Linked DNA regions of Canis lupus familiaris. The protein of the gene in region 4 interacts with the protein of the main gene of each other region in a pairwise test. Links are inferred from orthologs where the notes say so. Each region holds a gene or a part of one and is shown on either strand. Other genes may lie near its edges. The genes, in order: TMEM86B, PLN, PLP1 and BCL2L13.

Region 1 (6,547 bases), on a different chromosome or scaffold from region 4:
CTCTCTCTCTCTCTCTGTGTCTCTCATGAATAAATAAAATCTTAAAAAAAAAAGAGTCCCTAAACGCAAAAAAGGTGGGCATAAGCATCATTAGCATAATGTGCGTGTGTACAGACATGTCTCCTACGTGCTCGTGGGCAACCTCATGCTTGCTTAGCACGCACAGAATGGTGACTCCACTTCTTAATATTCCTCCAAACCCTAAAACTCACCCCTTTCGGGCCGCCTGTGAAAGATGACCTTGTTAGGCACCTCTCCTGCTGTCATTGCTGTGTAGAGGTCACTGCTGGGGGTGGAGGACGGGGTGGACCCACTTTGACCTGGGGACGTTGGGGGAATTCCACCTTCCTTAAGCCCAGGGTGCCAGGCCTGCCCATGGTCAGCAACTCTATTCTGTACATGTGGTGTTATGAGGGTCCAGCTCAGTGTTTCTATCAGGGGAATGATCATAAAAACACATTCAGTGCACAGCACAGTGAATGTACTTACCTGATGGCACTGAATCATACATTTAAAAATGGTTAAAATGGGATCCCTGGGTGGCGCAGTGGTTTGGCGCCTGCCTTTGGCCCAGGGCGCGATCCTGGAGACCCGGGATCGAATCCCACATCGGGCTCCCGGTGCATGGAGCCTGCTTCTCCCTCTGCCTGTGTCTCTGCCTCTCTCTCTCTCTCTCTCTGTGACTATCATGAATAAATAAATAAAATCTTTAAAAAAATAAAAATAAAAAAAATAAAAATAAAAATGGTTAAAATGATGCTCCGTTGCTTAAAAAAAAAAAGGGGGGGGGGGGCACCTGGGTGGCTCTGTCAGTTGGGCATTCGACTTTTGTTTTCAGCTCAGGCTGTGATCTCAGGGTCCTGGGAACAAGCATCAATGTTGGCTCCACACTCTGTGGGGAGTTGGCTTGAGGATTCTCTCTCCTCCCTCTCCCTCTGTCCCTCCCCACCGCTCTAAATAAATAATCTTTTTTAAAAATTAAAAGAAGAGGGTCACCTGGGTGGCTCAGTGGTTGACCATTTGCCTTTGGCTCAGGGCATGATCCCGGCCGGGGTCCTGGGATTGAGTCCCACATCGGGTTCCCTGCAGGGAGCCTGCTTCTCCCTCTGCCTGTGTCTCTGCGTCTCTCTATGTCTCTCATGAATAAATAATAAAATATTTAAAAAATAACGATAATAAAAAATACAAAAACAAAGAAAAAAATAACATTTACTGGTATTGTTAGCACTCCTCCCCCACATAACAGAGATGTGACTGTTTTAGTGTCCACTTTACTTGGGCACAAAATAGATCAGGGCCGAGGAGAGGAGGGCAGGTGGAGGCAGGTGAGAGGCTGTGGGGGTAGGGTCTGGAATCCAGAGTCAGAACAGAGGGAAGGTGGCAGGGCCTTGGCAACAGACGTGGATTTCCACATACGGTTCTCACCGTGTCAAGTGGTGGGGCCGGTCTGGGAGCCCCAGGATGTTGCCACCCCAGTCAGGTGGTCTTGAGCCTGCGGCTCTGGAAGGCTGACAGGGTGATGAGGAGCTGGGCAGCATAGTAGGTGGTCATGACCACCTGGCGGGCGTGGGGCAGTGGCTGGACGAAGGTATCCCAGGCCAGCACTGAATCCGAGAGCGTGAAGAGCAGGGCACCCCAGCAGACGGTCCCACCTCTGGCCAGGCCGCGCCACAGCATGGAGGCCAGGACCAAGGAATAGGCCGCCAGGGCCGGGACCATGCTGGCTGGGAGGTGGAGCAGCAGGAGGCCGTAATACAGGACGGAGACCAGGGCGACGGGCAGCAGGAGGCCTGGCCGCAGGGGAGTGAGGCCAAAGGCCCAGAGGTAGAGCAGGTGGGCCATGGTGAAGGCAGCCACACCTGGAGGAGACAGGACCTGTTGCTTGCTCCCACGTGGCCACCTTGCAGCTCAGAGCCTGAGGAAAGGACTGCCCCTTGCAGCAGCATGCACCCTGGCCACACCATCCCCATCTGCTGGGATGGTACCAGCCCCCATGATGCAGAGCTCTCCTCTCCTTACAGCATACTGCATCCCATCCTCACTCTGCTTACAACTGTCCCTGTGTTCTGCTCCCCACTCGGCTCTCCCCACCCACCTGTTCTGACCTGCCAGCAGTCCCACCCCAGGGCCTTTGCACTTGCCAGTCCCTCTGCCCAGACCATCCTTCCTCAGGTGGTTCCTGCACTCTTGAGACATTACCTCCTTGGTGAGGCCATCCTTGACCAGCTACTCAAGACTGCTACACCTGAAGCCCCTCCTTGCTGTCCCTCCACACCACTCCCACCTCCTAAGGCACTGCTGCTTCCTGATACCCTAGGGGAACAAGGGCTCTGTGAGAGCAGGGGTTCGTGTCCAGGTGGAGTCCAGAAACCGTAGTGCGGCCCCACTCACCATAGAGAAAGGCCTCAGGCCAGATGAGGCAGGCATCCCCCACAGCTGAGGACAGGAGGGCCCCCTGCAGGCGTGTGTGGTAGCCCCTGCCCCCTCGCACAGCCTGCAGGGACACCGCCAGGCACAGCACAGGCAGGCACTTGACGAGGGCGCTGACCCAGGATACCTGGTCTTCAGGGATCCAGAGGAGGAAGTAGACAGCACAGGTGAGGAAGAAGGGGCTCAACCACCAGCACAGGCGTGGCTGCTTTGAGAGACAAGGGGGTCATGGAGTCCCTAGAGCCCAGCCAGCTCCGGGCCCCTGGGGGGCAGGCCCCAATAGCCAGGACTAGGTGGTGGGGCCCCACTGCACCCTAACCCAGGAACCAGAGTCATGCTGTCTGTTGCGGGGAGCTTCTGCTCAGGGACCAGGATGTCTAGCCTCCAGAGAGGGCAGGGCCCCCTGATTCCCACAGGCTGCTCAGGTTCCCCAGAACCCAGGCCTAACCCCCTCCCACACCCGGCATCTCACTTGGACTAAGAAGCAAGGCTTTCCCGGCAGACCCTCTTCCCAGGCGTCCATGTCGGTCTATGACTACCCAGAGTAGCGTGTGTGTGGGCACGGGTGGCTTTGGGGGTGGAGGGGACAGTGTGTGGTTACACGTTAACCCGAGGAGCGTCCTGTGGACTCTGGGACCGATAACAGGCCCGAGGAGATGCTGCCCCCGCCCTGGGGATGGCCCCACCTGGCACCGCTGATAAGGCAACCACGGGGGACCCAGGGGTCCCTCCTCCCCCACAGTACCCTGACCCTGCCCACCAGACCTGGCTTCCTCCCTGGCTGCCTGGCAGTGGCAGGAGGGCAAGGGAGGCACAGGTGCGTGGCCATCAATGCCCTCCCCTGCACCTGGGGTCCCCTGAGCAGGGCAGCGCCATCATCCCTGGTCTTAGGTGGCAGGACCATTCTGCCTGGAGGTGCAGGATGGAAACTCCCTATGTCCCTGCCCACCGTCCCCCAGAAGGCTGCCCGGGGGCCACACCTCACGCTACCCTCAGCTCTGGCCTCAGGCCCCCAGAATCTGTCCACAGACAATCCAGAGGGATCAAATGCCAAGTGCTGGGTTGTATAGTCATCGCTCCATGCTGGCTTGAGTTGCATGTCATCCCAACAGACTTTTGTGCAAACCTGCAAGTGCACTGGGCCCGTGCTCAACTTCTGGTTTAGAAGGAATGGATTTACTGGGTACCCACCTATCTCGATGGGTTGGCCACCCACAGGCACCCACCGCTCCACTACATGCGACAAGGTTCAGAACATCACTGCTGCAAAGTCGCCCAGCCATGTCACCCCCACCAAGACTGGAGGTATGTATGGACCCGGGATACACAGGGCTGGGGGGCATGGAGGGACTCCAAAAACAGCTTGTGGGGATGAGGCAGGGCTCTGCTCCTCCTCCCGGGACACCCTTTCCTGGTCTGAGCATAAGTGACCCCACCCTCAGCAAATCATGAAGGTCCAGGAGCCAAACTGCACTCTGAGGGCCATACCCAGGGGCTGAGGGAAGGCCTGGGGTCCTGACGGCAGGGTGCAAGGGCAGCTCAGAACCCCCAACCCCAGATCCCAGAACTCAAGGCCAAGGCCAGAGTACAAGAGCGGCTCAGGCCCCCACCACCGACCCCAGATCCCAGAATTCAAGGCCAGAGGCCAGAGTGCAAGGGCAGCTCAGGCCCCCACCCCAGATCCCAGAACTCAAAGCCCGAGGCCAGGGTGCAAGGGCAGCTCAGGACACCCAACTCCAGATTCCAGAACTCATGGTCTGAGCAGGAATTTAAACTGTCTTTATTTATATTTGCAATATGAAATAGAAGCTCAGCACGAACACACGCACACTCACGCCAGCCTGGGGAGAGGGAGCTGGGACAAGGTCACTTGGCAGCTGGGCTGGACCCCAGACCCTTGGGCATAGGAAGGGGACCCCAGCCAGACCCCCGCCAACTCCCCACCCCCGGGGTCCATGGGAGGTGCAAGAGGGGGCTCTCAGTGAGTGCATCAGGGCCCCATGGGAATGTCACCGGAGAAACCCCCTGGATGGGGACTGCCAGCTCCCACAGAGCCAGCAGAGCCAGGTGGGTCCTTTATCTCCCAGCCAGGGTCAAAGTGCAGGGTCCAGGGCAAGGGTTTGGGCAAAGGCACGGCCCCCACTCGGGCCCTCCCCCGAGGTGGACCTGACCAAGTGTGGGTGTGGACATCTGCACTGGAGGCTGGAGGCATGGTGGGAGGGGAGAGTGGGCAACGGCCCCAGGACCCTACACAGCACCCCCACCCCCCACCCCACCGGGATGGGAAGCAGGTCCCACCAGCTGCCCTGCCTGGCCGGGCCTGCTCCTGGCTCTCCATCCACCCACTCTCTCTCTGTATATAATATATAATATAGGTCTCTCTCTCTCTCTCTCTTCTTTTTCTCTACTCAACTCTGTTTCTTTATTCTAGGAGACAAAACTCCATAATTTCTTTTCTCAGTGCAAATGGAGGTGGGTAGGGGCCTGTCTCCCTGGCACCGGGCTCCTGGGAGTCTAAAGGAGAGAATGTGGGGGCAGAGAGGGTGGGGACAGGGTGATGGGGCAACAGGGCCACTATGGGCCCCACCCTGCCCCCACTCGGGCAGGGTCCATGTGGAGTACAGAGGATTTAGCCGCCACCACCGGGACCGGGCAGTTACCTGGGAACCAAGAGATACCCATATGAGAAGCCCGCTATCCCCCAAGCACCCACCTGTGCAGCCCCAGCCCACCTACCACCCATGGCCCTTGCCACTCACTGGGAACCCAGGGACGCTGGCCCTCCGGGGGCAGAGCCATTGGGCATTGGAGGTGGCTCAAGGGCCTGGGCACTGTCAGGAGATAGAGACACAGAAAGGTCAGTGCCTCCCCCCACAGGACACCAGCTACCCTGGAGGCTGCACGGCACTCACCTCTGGCTATGAGGGAGCCCTGAGGGCTCTGGGCTCTTCTCCCCCTCTGTGGTCTGGGGGTGCTGGCAGGCCCCGGAGGCTGGAACAGAGGTAGCAGGGTCTCTGGTTGCACTGTTGAGAGTGGGGTGGGCTGGGTATCAGTAAGGTTACCATCACTGACATTCCGCTAGACCCTCCTATCAGAGACCCCTGGGAACCACCCCAGGCAGGAGGAGCTCAGGGTTGGATGAGACGCAGGCTCCACACACTGTCTATCCCCTTCTGGAAGCCATCTTGCCCCCGGGGGCTGACTGGGGAGATCCGGGCACCCACATGTGGGTATGGGCACAGCACAGGACCCTCAGCTGCCCGGAGGCCCTGAGTGGCGCAGAGACAACCCAGGGGCCAGGCTCCACCTGCCTCCCCCTAAAGCAGCTGCTCCCCAGTCAGTCACCTGTCCAAGGAGCTGGGGGTGGAGCATGTCCCTCTGAGTGTGGCCTGGAGGTCCCCAATGCTGACCAAGGACTGGCAGGGGGCTGTGAAGAGAAAGGCCAGGGAACACAAGGCTCAGTAAGCGTGATGCTACTCTTGCACTTCGCCCCAGTGTGCCAAGTGTGCACCAGCCTGGGGGACAATGGGGAGCGCAGGTGGGGCTAGGCGGCAGCGCTCACCCGAAGGCTCTGCTACTTTGCTGCCATCTGTGGCTTCCTGAGGTGCTGAGGGGGACACGGGGTCCTGAGACCTGGGGGCAAGAAAAGCAGCCCGAGGGCCAGCGGGGGTCAGCACTCCAGCCTCAGTGAACTGGGACCTGGGTACCCGTCTGCCTGAAGCCTCACCTGAGCTGCAGGGTGGTGCAGGCCACAGGGCCGGCCAGGCTCAAGGCAGGGAGGTCCCGGGGTATGCTGAGGGACCCCTGTGGGGCAAAGAGCCCAGAGCTCGGCTCCTTCTCCCCAGAGTCTCGGGGGCCGGTCAGGGCATCTGTAGGCACTGAGTCAAAGGTGGCTGTCCAGCTGGGGCCTGGGGGGAGGGAATGGAGGGGCGGGGTGAGCACCGGAGGCAGACACCCCATGGGCACCCCATTGCATCCCACCCTGTGCCTTCACCCACCCGGAGGCTGGGGGCCGGGGCTAGGATAAGAGGGGGGCCCGGCGCCCCCACCAGCCACACGGCCGTCACCGTCGTCCTCGTCCTCCTCGTCGTCATCCTCCTCTTCCTCGCTGTCTGTG
Region 2 (6,527 bases), on a different chromosome or scaffold from region 4:
CATTGCTGTTCCTGTTTTGTCTATAGGCTTGTCTTAATTTATCTGTTTATTATGTTAAAATTAATTTTTTAACAATTACAGATTTCTTTTACTCTGTAGTCATTGAGACTTCAGAGTCTTCTTTTGGGGAAAAAGATGTGGGAAGAGAATGCAGGGGAGAAGTTTGAAGGAAAAATGAACGCTAGTTAAATAAATCCCCACTAATAAGTGAATTGGTCTTTTTTTTTTTTTTTTTTTTTGAAAGACCTGAAGGTGGAGTACAGTTTAAAAATCACTAGAGGTCCTCAGTAGACTATGAGTATACTGGGGTGGAGCTGTAGGCCCAGGCTTCACTTTATTGTGTTTATTTGGTAACACATGCTTCAGAATTAGATAGGGTAAGAACATTGAAGTATAATTTCTGGACATGTTCAAAGAGACTATGTATTATTACCTGATTTAGGTAATTGTAATTTAGAAAGATTATTTCCTTGATTTTTAACCTTTAGGTTTATTCCTTTGCTACTCTGATCAACATTTTTCATTCACAGTTTAGATGAAAGTCATTTTCATAGCATAAATAACAAAGCAAGATTCCTCTGTCCAAGCACTTAAATGGGGCAGAATATTTTAAGTGGTAGAATGTGGGGAAGCCAGAAGTGAAATTGAAGTAAGGATTTAATATTGGAATTGGAATAAAGTACAGAAGTGTGGTTTTTGTGAAAAGTTTTGAGAAGTTAACCTAATTTTTAGGCATCAAGGCTAAATAGATTAAAGACATGAATTTTAGGAAAGAAACAAATTAAATAAAAGGAGATGTTGATTGTGGTATGTTATATTGTTTTTTTAAAGCCTGTGCAGTTATTTTGAGTTTTGCTTTCCATGGTCTATTGCTTAATAACAACAAGGACATCTATAACTTTCTTCTATCTCTGTCCTTATAAGTGATCAGGAGACTGTTATATAGATTATTAAGGACATAACACTGCATGTATAAATTAGCTTTAAATGAAATGGAGTGGTTTTAAATTAAAATACAGAGGTCTGTGTCCTCTAACTTTGCATTTAGAGTACCACTAACATTATTTGAGGACGTTCAGTTTATTTTGCTTTGCCAATGTCATGATGTATTTTTAAGCCATGTTCATCAGTGGATGTGATGTGCATGTGGTTTAGAGTTCTAAAATCTTGGCTTCAGCCAAGGCCACCACCATTTCCTAGTTCTGTGACCTTGCAGTTCACCTTTATGCATCTGTTTCCGAAATTGTAAGAGATGCAGTGTCAAACATACAGGGAGTTAAAAGAATCAAATGAAATTTTTGTATATAATAGTACATTTAGAAGATTGTACAGGAGTAAAGAAGGAAATTTTAAATGACTTTATTTCTAGGACTGGTAATAAATATACAGTCTAACTTAGAGAGTTATCTAATCTTTACATTTAATTTTTACTTAAAAATTTAATATGTTACATGATCTAACACATTTCATAATATATTGCATGATCATTAAAATTTTTATTCTTTTATACAAATTTTATTTATACAAATACTTTGTTTATATAACTACCCTATCTCCAACTTATTAGTGAGATTAAGAAATAATACATAAAAATATGTAACCAAATACAGGTTTTTTCTCTGGAATATTATTTTCCTTAAAGAATATTAGTGGAATATTATTTCCACTAAAATGTTGTTAAAATAATTTTGATACTTGAGTTTTAGGAAATGGCAGTGACTGACTTCTTAGTAAAGCAAGTACTTTAGCTCTTTTACATGTTTTTAAAACAATCAGTTTTTCATAAACATCCTTCATATTTCTTCCATTTTATTTTATCTCTCACTTTTTTTTTTTAACAAGTTAAACCTCCTGTCTTCTTAAAACAAAGACAATGCTTAAATTTCATCCTATGATAGAGATAAACTAGTTGGGACTAGTCTGCCAGTAGGGTATTTCTGTTTGAAATTTGAAGAGCTGTCACTGTAATTTTTATTAGCCTGTATACATTATTTATTGAAGAATAACTTTAATAGCTGAATTTGTGCTCTTTCTAGAAATTATCAACTTTTTGGAGCAATATGTGATGTGAAATTCTTGTACCATAAAAGAGCTCATGAATATCCCATTTCAAGTGTGAGAATGTAATTTGATAGGTATTTGAGTAAAAATGCATAAATATGTGTATAAAACACCTGCACCAAGTGACTTTCATGTGATACCAAAGGAAATACATTTTATGAATATAAAGATATTGAGAAGTGGTTACAGTATCTCAGTGGTAGGCAAAAATTAGAAATGTTTTCACATGTCTTAAGGAAAGCTGCTTGTGGAATTACAAAGTCCTTTTCTGTAAAAAGCAATAGAGTTAATATCATAGGAGCTTAGAATTCCAGAGATAAATTTTATTTTGACATACATATGAAAATAGAAATGAGATAAAATTGATGTGATTCTCTATGTCCTGACTGATAGAGATTTAAGAATGAAGATACATTTTGTATATTAAACTGAGGATTGTAACATCAAGAGTAAGTGGAATTCAGACAGAAGTCATAAAATGTATCATCTTCATCTCTGGGCATTTGAAAAGTTTCCTTCTCCATCGTTCCCCCCCTCCCCCTTAAAAATGCAGGAGAGGATAATGAGAAACCACGGAGGATAGTAACTTGGTAACAGTATATTCATTAATAGGCGGAATAAACATTTTATCAGATTCACTAAAATGAGATATTTAGGAATGTTCTGCCAAAATAATGTGTCTTTATTTTTTAAAAGTGCCAAATTAGTATTCTCTAACTTTACAAAGAATTTTACATGTGTTTTTAATGGATGTTTTAAAATTTCCAAGCTTGATTTCATGTAAGTAATTGAATTTATTAAATCTTGGAATTATTTTTAGAAGTGTTAAAAGTTGAGTGGACTCTATAGAGAGGGAAAAAGTCTTCAAATGCATTTTAAAATTAGTTTGTTTTATATTTTAAAAAGTTCTGTTAAATATTTATTGTAAAGAATCATACTGATAATATTGGAATAATCATGCCAGCAGTGTGCGTGTTGTACAATCACACGACTGTTCATAGTATCACAGATGTAAATAGAAGCCCAGTCCTACCCTGTTTTTCAGCACAGTAACAGATAACAAGATGTAGCCATTGTTTTTGCTTGAAGGAATAAGATCTCCATTACCACCAAATATAGTTACATAATTGAAAGATATTTTAATTGGAAAAATCCACTTTTCAGAAGCAAAAATGAAAGTCAAATTAAAATGACAAATCACTAACCAAGGTCAAAGATGATGCGACCCTTATTATTTCAAAGTTAAGTCTTGCTCTTACTGTCACCAAACAGGCATTTATTTAGAAATTAAAGTTTTTGTCATATCACACATTTTATTAACTTTGAACTGAAATTTACAAAACATGGTTAACTCTTGAAAAAGTTTAGTAATTTTGAATTCTGAAAAACAAGAATTACCAAAATTAATGAAATCTATTTCTTACCTTGGCTCTTGTGATGATTACAATATAAAGTATTGTGAGTTGTATGAAGTCTTATCGGTGTTTAGTTAGAAAGTTTTCTGACTCTGTTACCAGACTTATGGCAACAATTGAAGTAGGTGTAGGAGGAAAAGTGTTCTAGGGAGGTCTTATGATGTCATACAAGAATTCTGAAGTTATGATTGGTTAGCCATAGTCTTATCACAACCAAACCTTTTAGAATGTCACTTATCTTACTTTGAGTATGGAAAGGTCATTAACACTTTGTGCCACATTTTTTTGCTTGTAATTTTTAAAAGTGTATGGGAGATAAATGAAAAAAAAAAAAGTTTGGGGTGGTAGAAAGCTCCCTTTAAAGATTCATGAATCTTCAGGCTTAGAAATAATTGTGTACTGATGGTGATAATGTTGAAGAACTAAAATAGATATATGGAATTTTAATGAGTGAGAATATTATTGGCTTAGTCAAATAACTTTCATTGTATTGTCGCTGCTGTTGCTTTAATACTGCAGTTTCATACTGTTAGCTTCTAACAATACAGCAATTAAATATTTTCACAGAATCAAGTTTTATATCTTTCACTGTTTTATTTTGTTCTCTGTCTTCATATATTTATATGGGAAAGGATGTGTGTGTGAGGAAACCAGGCTAATGTTTTCAGTTTAAAAAATTAGTTTTATCATAGCATGTAAGAACTGATACATGTATTTAATTAATTTGTGTTTTTTCAGGTAGAGCTTTAACAATATATTTATGAACAATAATTATAATGTTTAAACTGATATATTACCCCAAGAATAGTTACAATTTACAAATTTCAGTATTTAAGATTTTTTATTTAACAGCTGTGTTAAACTACCATAAAATCTTTTTTTACTACCATAAAAGCTTAATAAAATTTTAAAAAGTGGAGACAATATCAAAAGTAACTTTACAGTAAAAATGAAATAATCACAGATTCCTAATCAGTGGCATTCTAGTTAATGATGCTTTCTTGAAAATAAGTGCATTTTGTTTTACATTTAAGGTGCATAAAGTTTCTAAAAAGATTGCCTCACTTAATGCAGCAATTGTTTTCATGAAAATTACTATACAAATAAAGTTTTAGTAAATGGAATGGTATTTGAACTTCCTAAAACAGTTTATCTATAAGAATAGAACTGGAAAAAAAATTCTTTGGAAAAACGAGGCATCATTTTCCTGTTTTCTCTGATTTTTTGTTTATACTACATATTACATTTTCTTAAATCAACACACCTGCAAATTCCAATTTTTAAATCTCTTCTGTAATTCTGGAGGAGCTATTTGTTAAAATTTTTTTTAATGTTTATAGCAGAGTGAGCTCCTCCTGCTTCACTTTCTTATGGGTAACTAAAATGTAGTGCAGCAGCTGCTTATGTGTCCTTAAATGGAGATGGTTTTGGCTTCTTCCAAAGAAAGATAAAATCCTTCTCTAAAGCAAACCTCTTGTTATTTAAAGAATCAACTAAAACTAACAAAAAAAAAATATTTCAAAAGACCCTCCATGAACGTTGCTAAGGGAAAATTTACAACTTAAAAATAAAACCCCAAATTAAAGAAATTGGATGAATAATGTTTGACATTTTGCTCAAAAGGCTGCAGTTTTTCAATCCTTACATAATAAAGATCTCTTATTATCAATTGCCAATGATGACTGTAATATAAACCTAGGTTGAAAATATAAGCCTAGAGTGGTTTATAGTGGTTTGTCAAAGATGACAGCTGCTGAGCAATAGACTGAGGCTTCAAATCTGTACCTGTTGCCTTATCTGTGGAATGGGTTTGTTGTGAGAGATTAATGGGATGAAGTATGTGTCCTCACTATTAGAGATCCTGCAATGGAGTGTCCATTTAGTGTTAGTACAGTCAATCCTTGACATGGGGGTAGGGGTGCTGATACCCCCTCACACATCGTCGAAAATCTGCAGATAACTTTTGACTCCTCAAAAACTACTAAAACCCTATCATTGACCAGAAGCCTTATCCCTAATAAAACAGAACACGTACTTCGTATATGTGTTATATACTGTATTCTTATGATAAAGTAAGCTAGAGAAGGGCAGATGTTAAGAAAATCATAAGGAAAATACATTTATAATATTGTGCATATATATATATATTTTAAAAAATCCACATATAAGTGGACCCACGCAGTTCAAACCCGTGTTGTTCAAGGGTCAGCATGCTTATTTTCTCTTTTCCTTTAGAAGATGATTCTTAACCTGCAATCTATGGGTAGAGTTCAGTAGTCTTGAACTTGGATAGGAAAAAACAAATTGTATCTTTATTTTTACTGAACTCTGAATAAGATTTAGCATATCTCAGTTTCAACTGTAGGCTACAAACTTTAGCAATATATTTGACTGTCACTATAGTAATCTTAGGTAGTTTCATATATTTATTTATAGCTAGCTTAAAGTACTGTTTACGTCCATCATGGAAATTACCACAATTAGGCCTGCCTGGAAATATTGTTATTTAATGCATTAATAAAGAAGCACAGATACTACATTGCAAGTTTGCTTTTTAAAAATAACTTTTCCAGTATAAATAATTTCCTTTCTAATCCCATGCATCTTATTTTTTTTAAAGGAAGTTTTATTTTAGCACAGTTCTAAATGTACAGAATTATTGCAAATAACAGTATAGAAAGTTCCTGTATACCCCATACCCAGTTTTCCCTGTTGTTAACATCCTACATTAGTATGGTACATTTGTCACAACAGTTGGAGCAGTGTTGCTACATTATTTTAACTAAAGCCCATATTTGATTGAGATTTCCTCAGTTTTCTCTAGTGTCCTTTTCTATCCAGAATACTAGATTACATTTATTAGACATGACTCCTTTGGTCCCTTTGGTTTTGATCGTTTCTGAGACTTTCCTTTGAGGAAAGTTCCCCAGTTGGATTTGTCTGATATTTCTTTCATGGTCAGACTGCCAGAGAGAGAAAGTACCATTTTGATTACATATCAAGAGTATATACTCTTGATATATATATATATATACCAACATGACTTAATCA
Region 3 (6,591 bases), on a different chromosome or scaffold from region 4:
TGACTGGTACTGGGGATAGATGGGGATCAGTGGGTGGGTTCTAGGAGTAAAACAACAATCATCAGGAGGTACCAGAGACAAAGACTTTTGCTTCTGGCCTTATTCTGGTCAGACAAAGCCCTGCCTGTAATATTGTCCTCTCTATGTGAAATCAGCACTTATACCACATTCAAGTGGTGGAAAGGGGCCCTAGAGCCACTAGGACATGGGAATCCAAGCCTGATGGATAGTCAAGTCCTATGGATAAATTTAAATGAAAAGGAATCTCAGCCTATTCGTTGTACTGATATTATTATTACTATAACAACAGCATTTGGGCCAACTTGTTTCCTATACTCCCCACTTCACCCCAAACACACACACACACACACACACACACACACACACACAGATGCCAATATATACCCAAACATTGAGAGGTTTGAATAGAACCTTGATTATTAAACTCTATCCCTGACATATTGTCTTCATCTTGCCCAATTATGCAGAGGTAAAAGAGAAGCACCTGACAATAAGCTAAAAGACAACATTTTCTATACCTTCTTCCTTAGGTCACTCTCTTACCATTTCCTTCTCTCTCCTTGTTTGCAGTGTGAAGCTGATCTGGGAAACCTTGTTCTCTTCCTTGGGATGTCACTGATTCTTTTCCAGAGCTCTGCCTAGCAGAGAGCTCAGAGGCAAATACAGAGCTGAGAGATCACTCTTAGGACCATTTTCAAATAACCAAGGAGGAATTAATTAATCAGTACTTGCAGAGTGTTTGAGGTAAGTTTGGCACTCGGGAGGCCCTAACAATGGGAAAGAAAGGAAAATCTACTCTGTTTCCCTTCCATGCTGACGTGACCTTATCTGATCGTGCCACTGCCCTGACTTGATCTTCTCTAGATCTGAAGTTCTGTAGGCAAGGAGGGCATTTCTACAGTTGCTTTCTTTAAAGACCAAAAACTACACCCTGGGGATGGTTTTCAGGGCTTCAAGATAACACAAAAAAAGGCAACGAGGGGAAAAGATGCCACTGGCTGGGTGCCAGTGCTTTGATGGATTTAAACACTATATGTCCCTTCCCACCCATCTCTCAGGGGTTCTTAGACCTTATTACTACTCACATAGTTTTGATAGAGTAGTTCTAGTAATCAAGCTCTTGAGTAAACTTCCAGGTTTCATAGCCCAGAGCCAGGGCAAAAGCTCCTCTAAGCAGAGCAAGCATTTCAGTCTGCCTGGCTCTCTAAGAGTTTCTCTGGCTCTGCAGAGCCAAGGTGGGGAATGGGGTGGGGAAGGCTGTCAATATCATTTTAGTCATTGTCTGTAGGAAGAGTGAGTATGCTGTTTTGGATCTGGTATTCTTGTGGCATTTTCTGCTCTTGGCATTCTTGTGGCATTCTTGCCATCCTGGTGGGATTCAGTTAGTCTGCCAAAATTTTGTAAAACTGGACCCCTGCTTTGTATCCACACTTCTTTCTTTTCTGGGCTACCCTCACTTAGTCTGTACCAGACAAAACTACACTGCTCAGCAAATAGCCACCTTTAGAGGGAAGCATCACAGTCTGGTTACCAGGGTAACAGCCACTGTTCTCAGACAACAGGCTTGCAGGATCCAATGTTTTGCTGTTCAGTAATGGCATTGTGTTACTGAGCAGAGAATAATCAGATACTGCTCTTTAACTCTTTTTCAGTTCCATTGTTATCCCAAAGGCTCATTTGGAACATCCCCTTCCCAAGTCAGGACAAGGTTTAATGAATTATCATTTCCCCCATAAACCTTTTATATAGACAATACTGAATTCAGTGTTCCTCTCTGCTTCCCATCCTACAGGATTCTATGTGGTTGAGGTAGTGAGCTCTCTGTTTCTGGGGGTGATTAAGGAGAGGCCATAGGAACATTTAATTGGCTGCTATAGAAAAGAATTTTGCCTTGAGAGTTGGCTGAGGCAGCTTCTAAAGTTCCTTCCAGGGATCCCTGGGTGGCGCAGCGGTTTGGCGCCTGCCTTTGGCCCAGGGCGCGGTCCTGGAGACCCGGGATCGAATCCCACATCAGGCTTCCGGTGCATGGAGCCTGCTTCTCCCTCTGCCTGTGTCTCTGCCCCCCCCCCCCGTGACTATCATAAATAAATAAAAATTTAAAAAATAAATAAATAAATAAAGTTCCTTCCAATCCCAGATTCCATGATATAATTTGTCTACTACAATCGTTAAACAGCCATGTGCTCCATGTTTGGAGTGCACTCCTTGTTAGATATGTTCTATTATTTACAAAGTACTTAAGATACTTTGTTACCAAATAATTGAAAACTCAATGACTACACTCTCATGTGCACCTGGCCCAAAGATTGTCCACCTCCAAAATCTGGGATCCAATATACAATCTCAACTGTGCCCTTATCTGTGGCAATCTCCCTTGGAGATTCCCCTGGAAACAATCATCCAGCCTCCATAACAGGGAACTGTCCCTGTGGTCACCTCATTTGTTCCTGCCTTTTCCTCACAGCTCTCATCCCCTGAGGAAGTAATATTCAGCATCGTTCTCTACTCCCTCTCCATTTTTTTAAATTCACAATCTACTTAATCAGCTGCCCTGACATTACATAGGGTTCCTGATGTCACCAAGCGTAGGAACTTAGTTCCTCTAACATTCACCTCTCACCTGGCTACACTCGGTCAAATGATTTTTACCCAAGTGCACAAAATATACACAAAGAAAGCCCAAACCACTTTGGAAAGATTAAGAGTCAGCTTATACATGTGTTATTGTATAATGATTGGTATTATCATTATCTAAAATTGTTATAGAGTTTTCCCATTTTTACATCCACATCATTATTACTTGATTTTTACAACCCTGAAAGTAGACAAAGCAACTATTTTTATCCCCATTTTCCATATGATAAAGTGATAATTCACTGTGACCTACCCAAGGTCATGAAGTTCATAAGTGGCAGATCTGGGATTTGAACCTGGTTGTGTTGATTCTAATCCAGTGCCCTCCTCTCTTAATTTTCCATGCAAAACACATGATTCAAAGATCTCCCTCAGGATGAAACAATCTAAAGGCTGACACCAGCTTAATATAATCAAAAACCTTTTTCCATGGATGTTGCTGGAGTCTTCTGGGTACTACATATGATGGTGAATACACAGGACAATTAATTCTCACTTCATTTAGGATGCATTCAAGCTGCTATTCTTTTGCCAAATGTGAGTGTTGTCTACATGTCTCCATGGCATCCTGTGTGGACAAAGATCCTTGTGCTCTGTATATCTTACTCTAAGTAGACGCTACCAAAGACCAGACCTTATAGCTTCTGTCTTTGTTCATAGAACCTGGAGAAGCCTTCAGTACTCAACCAAGTCGGTAAGAGTGCTAATGTCCCAGCAGCTTCCTTGTCATAGGAGGAATTTAGAGTCTGAATCATGTCCTTTGAAAGGCTAAGTCTGTGATTTTTGCTAGATATGGTCACCCATATATGTATGTGTGCGTTTGCATGCACGTACACATATGCTACCCATATTGACTCCCCATGGTAAAGCCACTGAGGCCTTTATTTTCATTTCCTGGACCTGAGATTGGCCTTCTCACCCATAGCCAAGCCTGAGTTCCATCTTGCCCAATTCCCCAATTTCCTTCTGATGCTAAACAGGGTCCAAATTTTTTATCAAGCAAGCAGTTATTTTATACATCTGAGGGCTAGCCAACACTCATTTGTCTCCAGAAGAACCAGGGTTGTCAGCTGACCCAGCCATTACTAGGGCCTGAGAACAGGGGAAAAGAGAAGGTAGAAGTGAGGGGGTAGGAGGACACATGACCACATCCAACCCTCTGGGCACTCTCTCCAAGGACCTATGGTACTCTCCACGTGCTGCTGGAGTTCTTTGGCAATAAAGCTACATTCTCAGTACAGCAGAGAAAGGGTTAACCTAATTGAGTGCTAAAGAATTAAATAAAACAAGTGCCAAAAACACAACTCATTGAAACCATTGGAAACCCCAAGCCCTAGAGTTGGAAATTCTCTTGCAAATTTCTGTGCCTGCTTGAATCTTCCATGCTAAAGTCTTTGAAACTCACCCATGTCTTTGGAACTCTGACTCCAATTGTAGCCAGCTGGCTAGTCTGCTTTGCTGCTGACTTTGTTCAGCTGGAAGGATCCTGGTCTCTCCAGTCTCCTTCTTCGGTCCTCTACTTTTTCTCTCTGAGTATCTTTGTCCTCTTCTCCTGCAATGAAAAGGGCTTTCTGATTGACAGCCAACCCCCTTAAAGAGACAGGCCTGCTTTCCTCCTCCTCTCCTCCTCCCCTTCTCCTCCCCTTGTCCCCACCTCCTTAGGGATACTCCCTTCTCTAAGGGCTCCATCTTCTTTTTCTGCTTTTAACTGAAAATTGTTTCATTTTCTGTTTTTCTCCTTTTCTCTAAGCCTTGTCTGTGTGGAATTTCACTTTGCTGCAGAGACATCTGGAAATGTGGTTTGGGGTAAAAATAAAAAAGAGGTCCTGGAAGCCTCCAACTGATGCTTGGGTCTATTTGGTATGGGATATGACAGCACAAGTGTCAGAAGCCATGGAAGTTGTAGCCCTGGCCAAAGGGTCAGGGTCAGAAACCTAGCTGTTATTCCCAGAGTCCTTCCAACTCTGCCCCAACCCCACCCCTCACTCTTAGCTTCTCTTGGCCCTGTCCACCTTTCTCCTCCCCCTACTTCTTGGCAAAGAAGCATCCCTCACCCTACCCAGCAATAGAATCACAATAGAGAAGAAAAAAATTGTCTTTTAAAATAATTCCTTCCAAATCTTTCTTGGTTTCAACTGAATGAGGACAAAACACAAGCTGTTGATTCCATAAACAGATTTTGACCACGCTGGGGGAGGCTACAATTGTAAAAATTGTATAGATAGAATAACAGAGACCCAGAGAGAAGACAAGACCTATGCATGTTCACAGAATAAGGTAAAGAGGTCATTTAGGGATGTGGGTGATTTCCAAGGAGTTTAATTGACTTTGAGACAAATCACTAACACAATCTGGGAATCAGGTAGTCAATATCCCATCCTGAGACTGTAGTGTCATAAAAGAGCTAAGGCCAGGCTGGTGAGAGGCAGAGAGCAAGTTGGGGTGAGGCAGCAGCTGTCAATGAAGGTGGAGAGAAGGGGAAAAGAATTAAAGTGCTTGCCTCAGAGAAAAAAAAAACACTAAGAAAAAATGGCCAAAGAAGCAAAAACAGGGGAACAATATATGAAATCTGCCCTGACAATAATACATGTTTCTAAAGACTGTGAAGATATTTGAGTGCCTAATATTAGGTGAGATTAGCCAGGGAAGGTTTTCTAGAAGAGGTGAATCTTAACCAGTGTCTATGTAGGCTCCTTGTTTGTGTTCCCTTCCCTTCAAGTGCCTCAGAGGAACACCATTCTCTCGATCCTGAGGGCCATATTCTCCCACAGGTAGCCTATAAGGAAACTGGTTGGCATATAATTTAAGGAGTACTTGTTGGAAGACTCTGGGGAAGAAGATATGACCCCTTCCTCATCACCATCAAAATTTCCCTATAGCTTTGCCTTGGGGATAGAGAGGAGAAGAAGGAGATACTGAACAGAGCCTACAATCATCCTGGGGGAGGGGGGAGAGGCAAGATTGAATCTTACAGTTTTCTCTTTGGGCTGTGACCTTGGACCATGTTTCTGGCTTGGGCATTGCTATTAGGAAGTGGTTGAGTCTTCTATAGATGCCCCTGTGGCTTCACCCAGGTCCTGAATCCCACCCAAAGAGAAAGGGTCCTTGGAAATGCCTCTTTTGCAGAAGTATATAGTGGCAGTTTTGCAGATCAGACTAGAATAAGACCACATGACTGATGGTAGAAGCTCCCAGGACTCCTGACCTCGCTATACCTGCTCTCCAGTCATAGACTCTGCCTGTTGAGGAAGCTGGGCTGTAGGATTTTGCCAACAATTAACTTCTGGATGATCATTATCAGAATAGCCCTGGAAGAGAGGGAGGACCAAAAGCAAGAAGTCACCAAATGGGTGCCCTCAGCTCCTCAGATGGCAGAAGGAACTGAGTCCAAACTTTGGGATTCTGATTTAGGCAATGAGAGAGATGGTTTTTCATGGCTCAGATAGAAAAGACAGCTCTGCATGCAGGGGAAATTGCTCAGGCTGAGCCTCCTTACAAATCTGCCCTTGAACTTTCAGCAGCAGCTCTGGGGAATGTTAGGCTACTTGGAAGAAAATATTTGTTCCCAGTAAACTCACAAACATCAATTTTTCAACCACATTTTTCTTCTCTTTTCCTTCATCTCTAGCACTTTACTTTAGCATTCTGTCCTTTCCCCAAGTCTTAATCTCTCCATCTCTGCTGTTTGACTGCCTGTCTCTCTGTCTCTCTTTTTCTCTCTCCACACTCTTTGATGGACTATGTCTTCCTGTCTCCACCTTGCTTTTAGGTCCAAGGATGGGAAAGGGGCTCAGCCTGGTCATGCTCACAGTACCTTAAGGTTCCACCTCCCTAGGATCTAGTATGTTGTAGTCACTCCGGATGTCTTGACACAGTGCTTTAGCACCTGTCTCTTGAGCCTTCCCCCACAGACTTTATAGGGTTTCTTTCCAGGTT
Region 4 (4,860 bases):
TTTCAGAAGTCATTACATTCAATAAAGCAATTAATAAGTGTTCTAGAGGACTTACACAAACTTGTCCCCAATAGTTCAAGAATGAGGAATGATAAACGGTATGTTCTTAATTCCACATCTGAGCTCCATAAGCAAGTTGGATTTATTCTGAATCTGCCTTTTACCTTAGATTCAGAAGTAATATAAGTTAGAAGGGGCGGAAGAAATGGTTTGCTGCCAGCCCCACCAAAAAGGAGGGGGGTGGGAGGTTGAGAAATACATTTTAATAGCCAAAAGGAGGAGCTGCTGTAAGAAGCAGTCCTTATCAGGGTATTCCCTTCCATTGCCAGAGGCAGATGGTAAGGAAGTGAAGGAGGAATGGGGACACTGACACATCCTATTACTCACGAACTAACAATTCTCTCTAGAGAAAGCCAATAGAAAAGAATATTAACCATTACCCTGCGAGATCCAATTGGCCAGATCACTTTGGGTTCATGTTAAATAGATGGGAAGATAAACGGGCATGTGGCAGCATCCTATTATACTCTTTGGATCTTTCCTTTTGTGGAGAACACAGACCCAAATATCCTAAGCCACAGATCGCCTTTTAGTAGCTCTGAAATAAAACTGGTTTCTATTTGTACTTAAATGCATGTAGCTAATGGGTTTGAGGATCCAGAGATTACAAGTGAACACTGGAAGGAAAATAAAAGAGAAAAAAAAATCAAGGTAACTCATCAGTTTGCTTTTACCTTACACAAACAGGAAAGTAGCAATTAGAACAGAGTAACCCCAGTGTCAGAGCCAACTGTCAGAGACCAAGGAGGAAAACAATCTTTACTACATTAATCCCATTTCCCCCACCTCACCTCTAGCTATCCTAATCAAAGTGCACCAAAACCCTTTAAATATCACTCCCTAAGACACTAAAACTCAGAACATAAAGATACAACTGCATGATGAAGCTGACCAAACACATTTTAGACCTTTCCTCGACCAACTTTTAAATAGTATTGCTTTAGGGAGAACATTTCATTTTTAAAAATAAATTGAAAAAAAAAAAAAAAAACATTTAAAACATCAAGTTTAAAAAAATAAAAATAAAAAAAATAAAACATCAAGTTTTGGTGATCAGGATAGTAAAGTAATTTTATTACAAATTTCAGGATCTAAAAAAGTAATTTGTTACATTTACTAAGATCTGAGATGACCTGTGTCAAGCATGTGTGTCCTGCACAGTGACACACTGATCCTCAGGCATGAGAAGACACACTCCCACCCCCTTTTAGGGATGGGATCGGCCTGATGAAAGAAAGTTATTCTGATTCTCAACTAGCACTTACTGATTAGAGTTATTTTGGTTTATCACTCTGGCATTTGGACTGTAAAGAGTTCTGGGAAGAAATCTTATTCCTGAACTCTGAAAGCCACACTAGAATCTCGAGGGTAGTAGGCTCAAGAAATTCAAGCTTCTCTTTTCCTACTTTTTATTTCAATGGTATTTGGGAGACTTTCTGTATTTAATAGGAGTTATGATTCAATTGGTCTGTAAGCCCAAGTATGAAAATCCTTATCACATGGCAAGAGACCGCAGAAAAGCTAGTTGACTCTTAAGAAGACTGAGGCCAGATTACAGATAGTGACCATCCAGCAACAGATGCTGCCAGCAAGTCACCATAAGCTCAGTAGCGTGGCCATTACACAAAAGGGCCAGAAGAGACCGCAATAGGCCATCTAAGTCATCCATCCCCCTGCTTGACAATGAGACAAACACCTGCTCCCTAGCAGTTACTTGCCCTTGCTTGCATTCACAGGCAGGGAACCCTAGGCCTCTTTTCTATTTATGTTTTTAAAGATGACCGAAGGCAACATCTTTACAAGGTGGAGCTGTAGGAAGCATGAGGGACTTAGCGGACACAGAGAAAGCACTCTCCCACGTGACTTTACAAAGAACCTGGGGGTGAAGAGGAGCAATCAGTACCTGAGAGGCAGATGAGACAGAAGGGGAGCACCCTCACACTACGGGCCTGAGAAGGTGGGCAAGAAAAGAAGAGCCACAGAGGAATGGCTGCGAAATACAGCATATTCATCAGGAAAGATGAAATCCCAAGGGCAGGAACGACTCAGTAGCTGAGGAGCCTGCAGCTAAGCCCTCTTGCCTGGGACTTTCTGTCCTAGGTTCTCCTAAGTTAACCCTTTCCCTTCTAAAGCTGGGGCTCTCCACAGGAACAATTTTGCCCCCAGGGGACATTTGGCAATGTCAGGAGACATTTCTGGTCGTCACAACTGAGGGCAGGGTGCTACTGCTATCTAGCGGGTAGAGGCCAGGGATGTTGCTGACCAACCTATAGTGCACAGGACAACCTCCTACAACAAAGAATTAATCATGATGTCATTAATGCCAAGGTTGAGAAACCCTGTTCTGGAAGGAGTACTTTACGTGGATTCCGAATTTGGCATTAGCCAAGGCCCTTGGAACTTACAATCAGACAAACATGGATGCCCTCTACCTGAAGCTCTATCATGTGGATCAATGTACTGCCTTATTAAGCAGAAGCCCCCCATTATCCAAGATTGTTCCACAAATGTCCAAATCAGCTGTTGGTGATTCAAATTCAGTCAGTACAGCTAAAATCTTCCATCTTCCATCTTTTTTGTCTTCTTTTGAAAAATCTGCTATTTCTTTCTTAGAGCCAGTGCTACTCCAACTGCCACTGCCAGGATGGCAATGGCAGCGGCCCCTCCAAACAGCAGTATAGACTTGCCCTCAAACAGTGGGATGGCCTTCTCTTCTCCAGCAGGGGAGGGGACTTCCCGAAGACCCTCTCTCCTCACATGTATCTCCTCTTCACTCAGCAGTGTTTCTGAGGGTTCCAGCACGGGGATCACTTCCTCTTCCAGTTGAACAGATTCAACCGTTGCTGCTTTTGTCTTCATCAAGTTCTCTTCTTCACCAAGTTCCACCAACAAAGTTGTAGCAGGGCTGACTTTCTCCACTGTCATCTCTTCTGTGTCAGGCTCCCTCATCTCCAGAAAGGAAGTGGCAGTGATATGCGGAAGCAAGGGAGCTGGTGCTTCGGGGAGTGCCTCCCGCAGCTCCTTGGCTGGCAAGACAACAGATGCCACAGCAGCCTCCTCCACACCTTCAGGAATTTCTTCTTTCTCCACATGAACAATGTCAGAATTAGAAGAGTTGTTCTCACTTTTCTCTCCAGCCCCGTTGCTATCTAAGCTTTTGACTTCTTCAGGATCCATTGCAATCTGCTGCCAGGACTCAGGACCTAGGGACACAGGGAGGCTTTCTGTATGCCAACTCTGGCTGGCAGACAGTGAAACAGGTAAGCTCTCCGACTGCCAAGAAGTGGTCACAGTAGGAGACTCTGGGGGACTGACTTGTCCAGAGTTGTCACTGGGCAGGATATAAATGTCGTTGCTATCCTCTGCAATGACTCCAGGATATTCTTCGTCCTCTGACTCAAGGTTAAAGACAGTGCCCTAGAAAAGGAAGAGGAGAGTCAATACAAAGAATGGAAACTACATTTAAAACAAATATAAATCTGAGGGTGCCTGGGTGGCTCAGTCAGTTGAGCATCTGACTCTTGGTTTCAGCTCAGGTAGTCATCTCCGGGCTATGGGATCCAGCCCTGTGTCAGGCTCCAAGCTCGGCACATAATCTGCTTGAGGTTCTCTCTCTCCCTCTCCCTCTGCCTCTCCTGCTTGCACACTCTCTCTTTCTCTAAAATAAATAAATAAATAAATAAATAAATAAATAAATAAATAAATAAATAAATATTTTAAAAAATAACTAAAGTAAAATAAATATAAATCTGGAAAAAAAGAATTCTCTCCTAGGGCAGCCCGGGTGGCTCAGCGGTTACCACCGCTTTCGGCCCAGGGTGTGATCCTGGAGACCCGGGATCGAGTCCCACATCGGGCTCCCTGCATGGAGCCTGCTTCTCCCTCTGCCTGTGTCTCTGCCTCTCTCTCTGTGTGTCTCTCATGAATAAATAAATAGAATCTTAAAAAAAAAAAAATTCTCTCCTAAACTGAAGTGCTAGGACTAAATACATTGTTTAAGCCTACCTAGTTTCTGGATTGAATGCATTTACTTGTAGATCACTGCAGAGGAAGAATTTTTAACAATCCATTCCTCTAACCAGTTTCCTTGAAACTAAAAAACCAAAATTTGATTTCCATATTTAACTCAATGTATTTATATTTGATGCAATAATTAATGCAAAGCAGCAGGGAAAACAGAGGCTCTCAAGGAATTTATCACTTAGTAGGGCAATGCTATCCCACAGTCCAAGTACTAGTAAGGGTTCAGATGGGGAGACGTGGACTTCTTTCAGTGAAGGTTGTAGCAGGCAAGCAGATGACAGAACTACTTGGAGAAACCAGCGTTTATACTAGGTTTCTGAAGGATGGGTCAGATTCCATGGGGAAAGCCATGCAGGAGACACAGCACCAGCAAAAGCACAGAAATATAAGAGGGAAAGAGTAACTCAGTTTAAGCAGTGCGCAGTGTACATGAAGAATAGAAAGTTCAGTTGGGGAAAGGACTGATCCTGGAAAACCTGACAGAAAGCTAAGAAATATGGACTTTATTCAATAGGAAATGGTTAGTCCATGAAATCTTGCAGCTGCACAATGACAGTCACAGCTCCACTTTAAAATTACTGGAGGGACGCCTGAGTAGCTCAGTGGTTGAGCAGCTACCTTTGGCTCAAGTCATGATCCCTGGGGTCCTGGGATCCAGTCCCACATCAGGCTCCCTGCAAGCAGCCTGCTTCTCCCTCTGCCTATGTCTCTGCCTCTCTGTGTCTCTCATGAGTAAATAAATAAAATATTTAAAGAAATAAAAAATAAATAAAATAA

What was found.
Region 1: the proteins of BCL2L13 (region 4) and TMEM86B interact in binary tests that used the Homo sapiens proteins (3 or more experiments, as listed by UniProt). The two-hybrid records come from large-scale screens. The link is inferred for Canis lupus familiaris from reciprocal best matches to the Homo sapiens genes BCL2L13 and TMEM86B.
Region 2: the proteins of BCL2L13 (region 4) and PLN interact in binary tests that used the Homo sapiens proteins (3 or more experiments, as listed by UniProt). The two-hybrid records come from large-scale screens. The link is inferred for Canis lupus familiaris from reciprocal best matches to the Homo sapiens genes BCL2L13 and PLN.
Region 3: the proteins of BCL2L13 (region 4) and PLP1 interact in binary tests that used the Homo sapiens proteins (3 or more experiments, as listed by UniProt). The two-hybrid records come from large-scale screens. The link is inferred for Canis lupus familiaris from reciprocal best matches to the Homo sapiens genes BCL2L13 and PLP1.

The regions. Positions count from the first base shown.
Region 1 is NC_049222.1:103,190,595-103,197,141, reverse strand, and holds TMEM86B (lysoplasmalogenase), read right to left. Parts: upstream 4,034-6,547; 5' UTR 2,954-4,033; coding exon 2,903-2,953; intron 2,639-2,902; coding exon 2,392-2,638; intron 1,860-2,391; coding exon 1,477-1,859; 3' UTR 1,256-1,476; downstream 1-1,255. Other genes in the region: PPP6R1 (serine/threonine-protein phosphatase 6 regulatory subunit 1), read right to left, coding at 5,087-5,090, 5,190-5,261, 5,343-5,453, 5,776-5,857, 5,993-6,063, 6,158-6,338, 6,429-6,547. UniProt on the Homo sapiens protein: Catalyzes the hydrolysis of the vinyl ether bond of choline or ethanolamine lysoplasmalogens, forming fatty aldehyde and glycerophosphocholine or glycerophosphoethanolamine, respectively and is specific for the sn-2-deacylated (lyso) form of plasmalogen.
Region 2 is NC_049222.1:59,134,778-59,141,304, reverse strand, and holds the start of PLN (cardiac phospholamban), read right to left. Parts: upstream 3,569-6,527; 5' UTR 3,486-3,568; intron 1-3,485. UniProt on the Homo sapiens protein: Reversibly inhibits the activity of ATP2A2/SERCA2 in cardiac sarcoplasmic reticulum by decreasing the apparent affinity of the ATPase for Ca(2+).
Region 3 is NC_049260.1:77,738,685-77,745,275, reverse strand, and holds the start of PLP1 (myelin proteolipid protein), read right to left. Parts: upstream 4,170-6,591; 5' UTR 4,065-4,169; coding exon 4,061-4,064; intron 1-4,060.
Region 4 is NC_049248.1:696,439-701,298, forward strand, and holds part of BCL2L13 (bcl-2-like protein 13), read right to left. Parts: intron 3,478-4,860; coding exon 2,659-3,477; 3' UTR 1-2,658. UniProt on the Homo sapiens protein: May promote the activation of caspase-3 and apoptosis.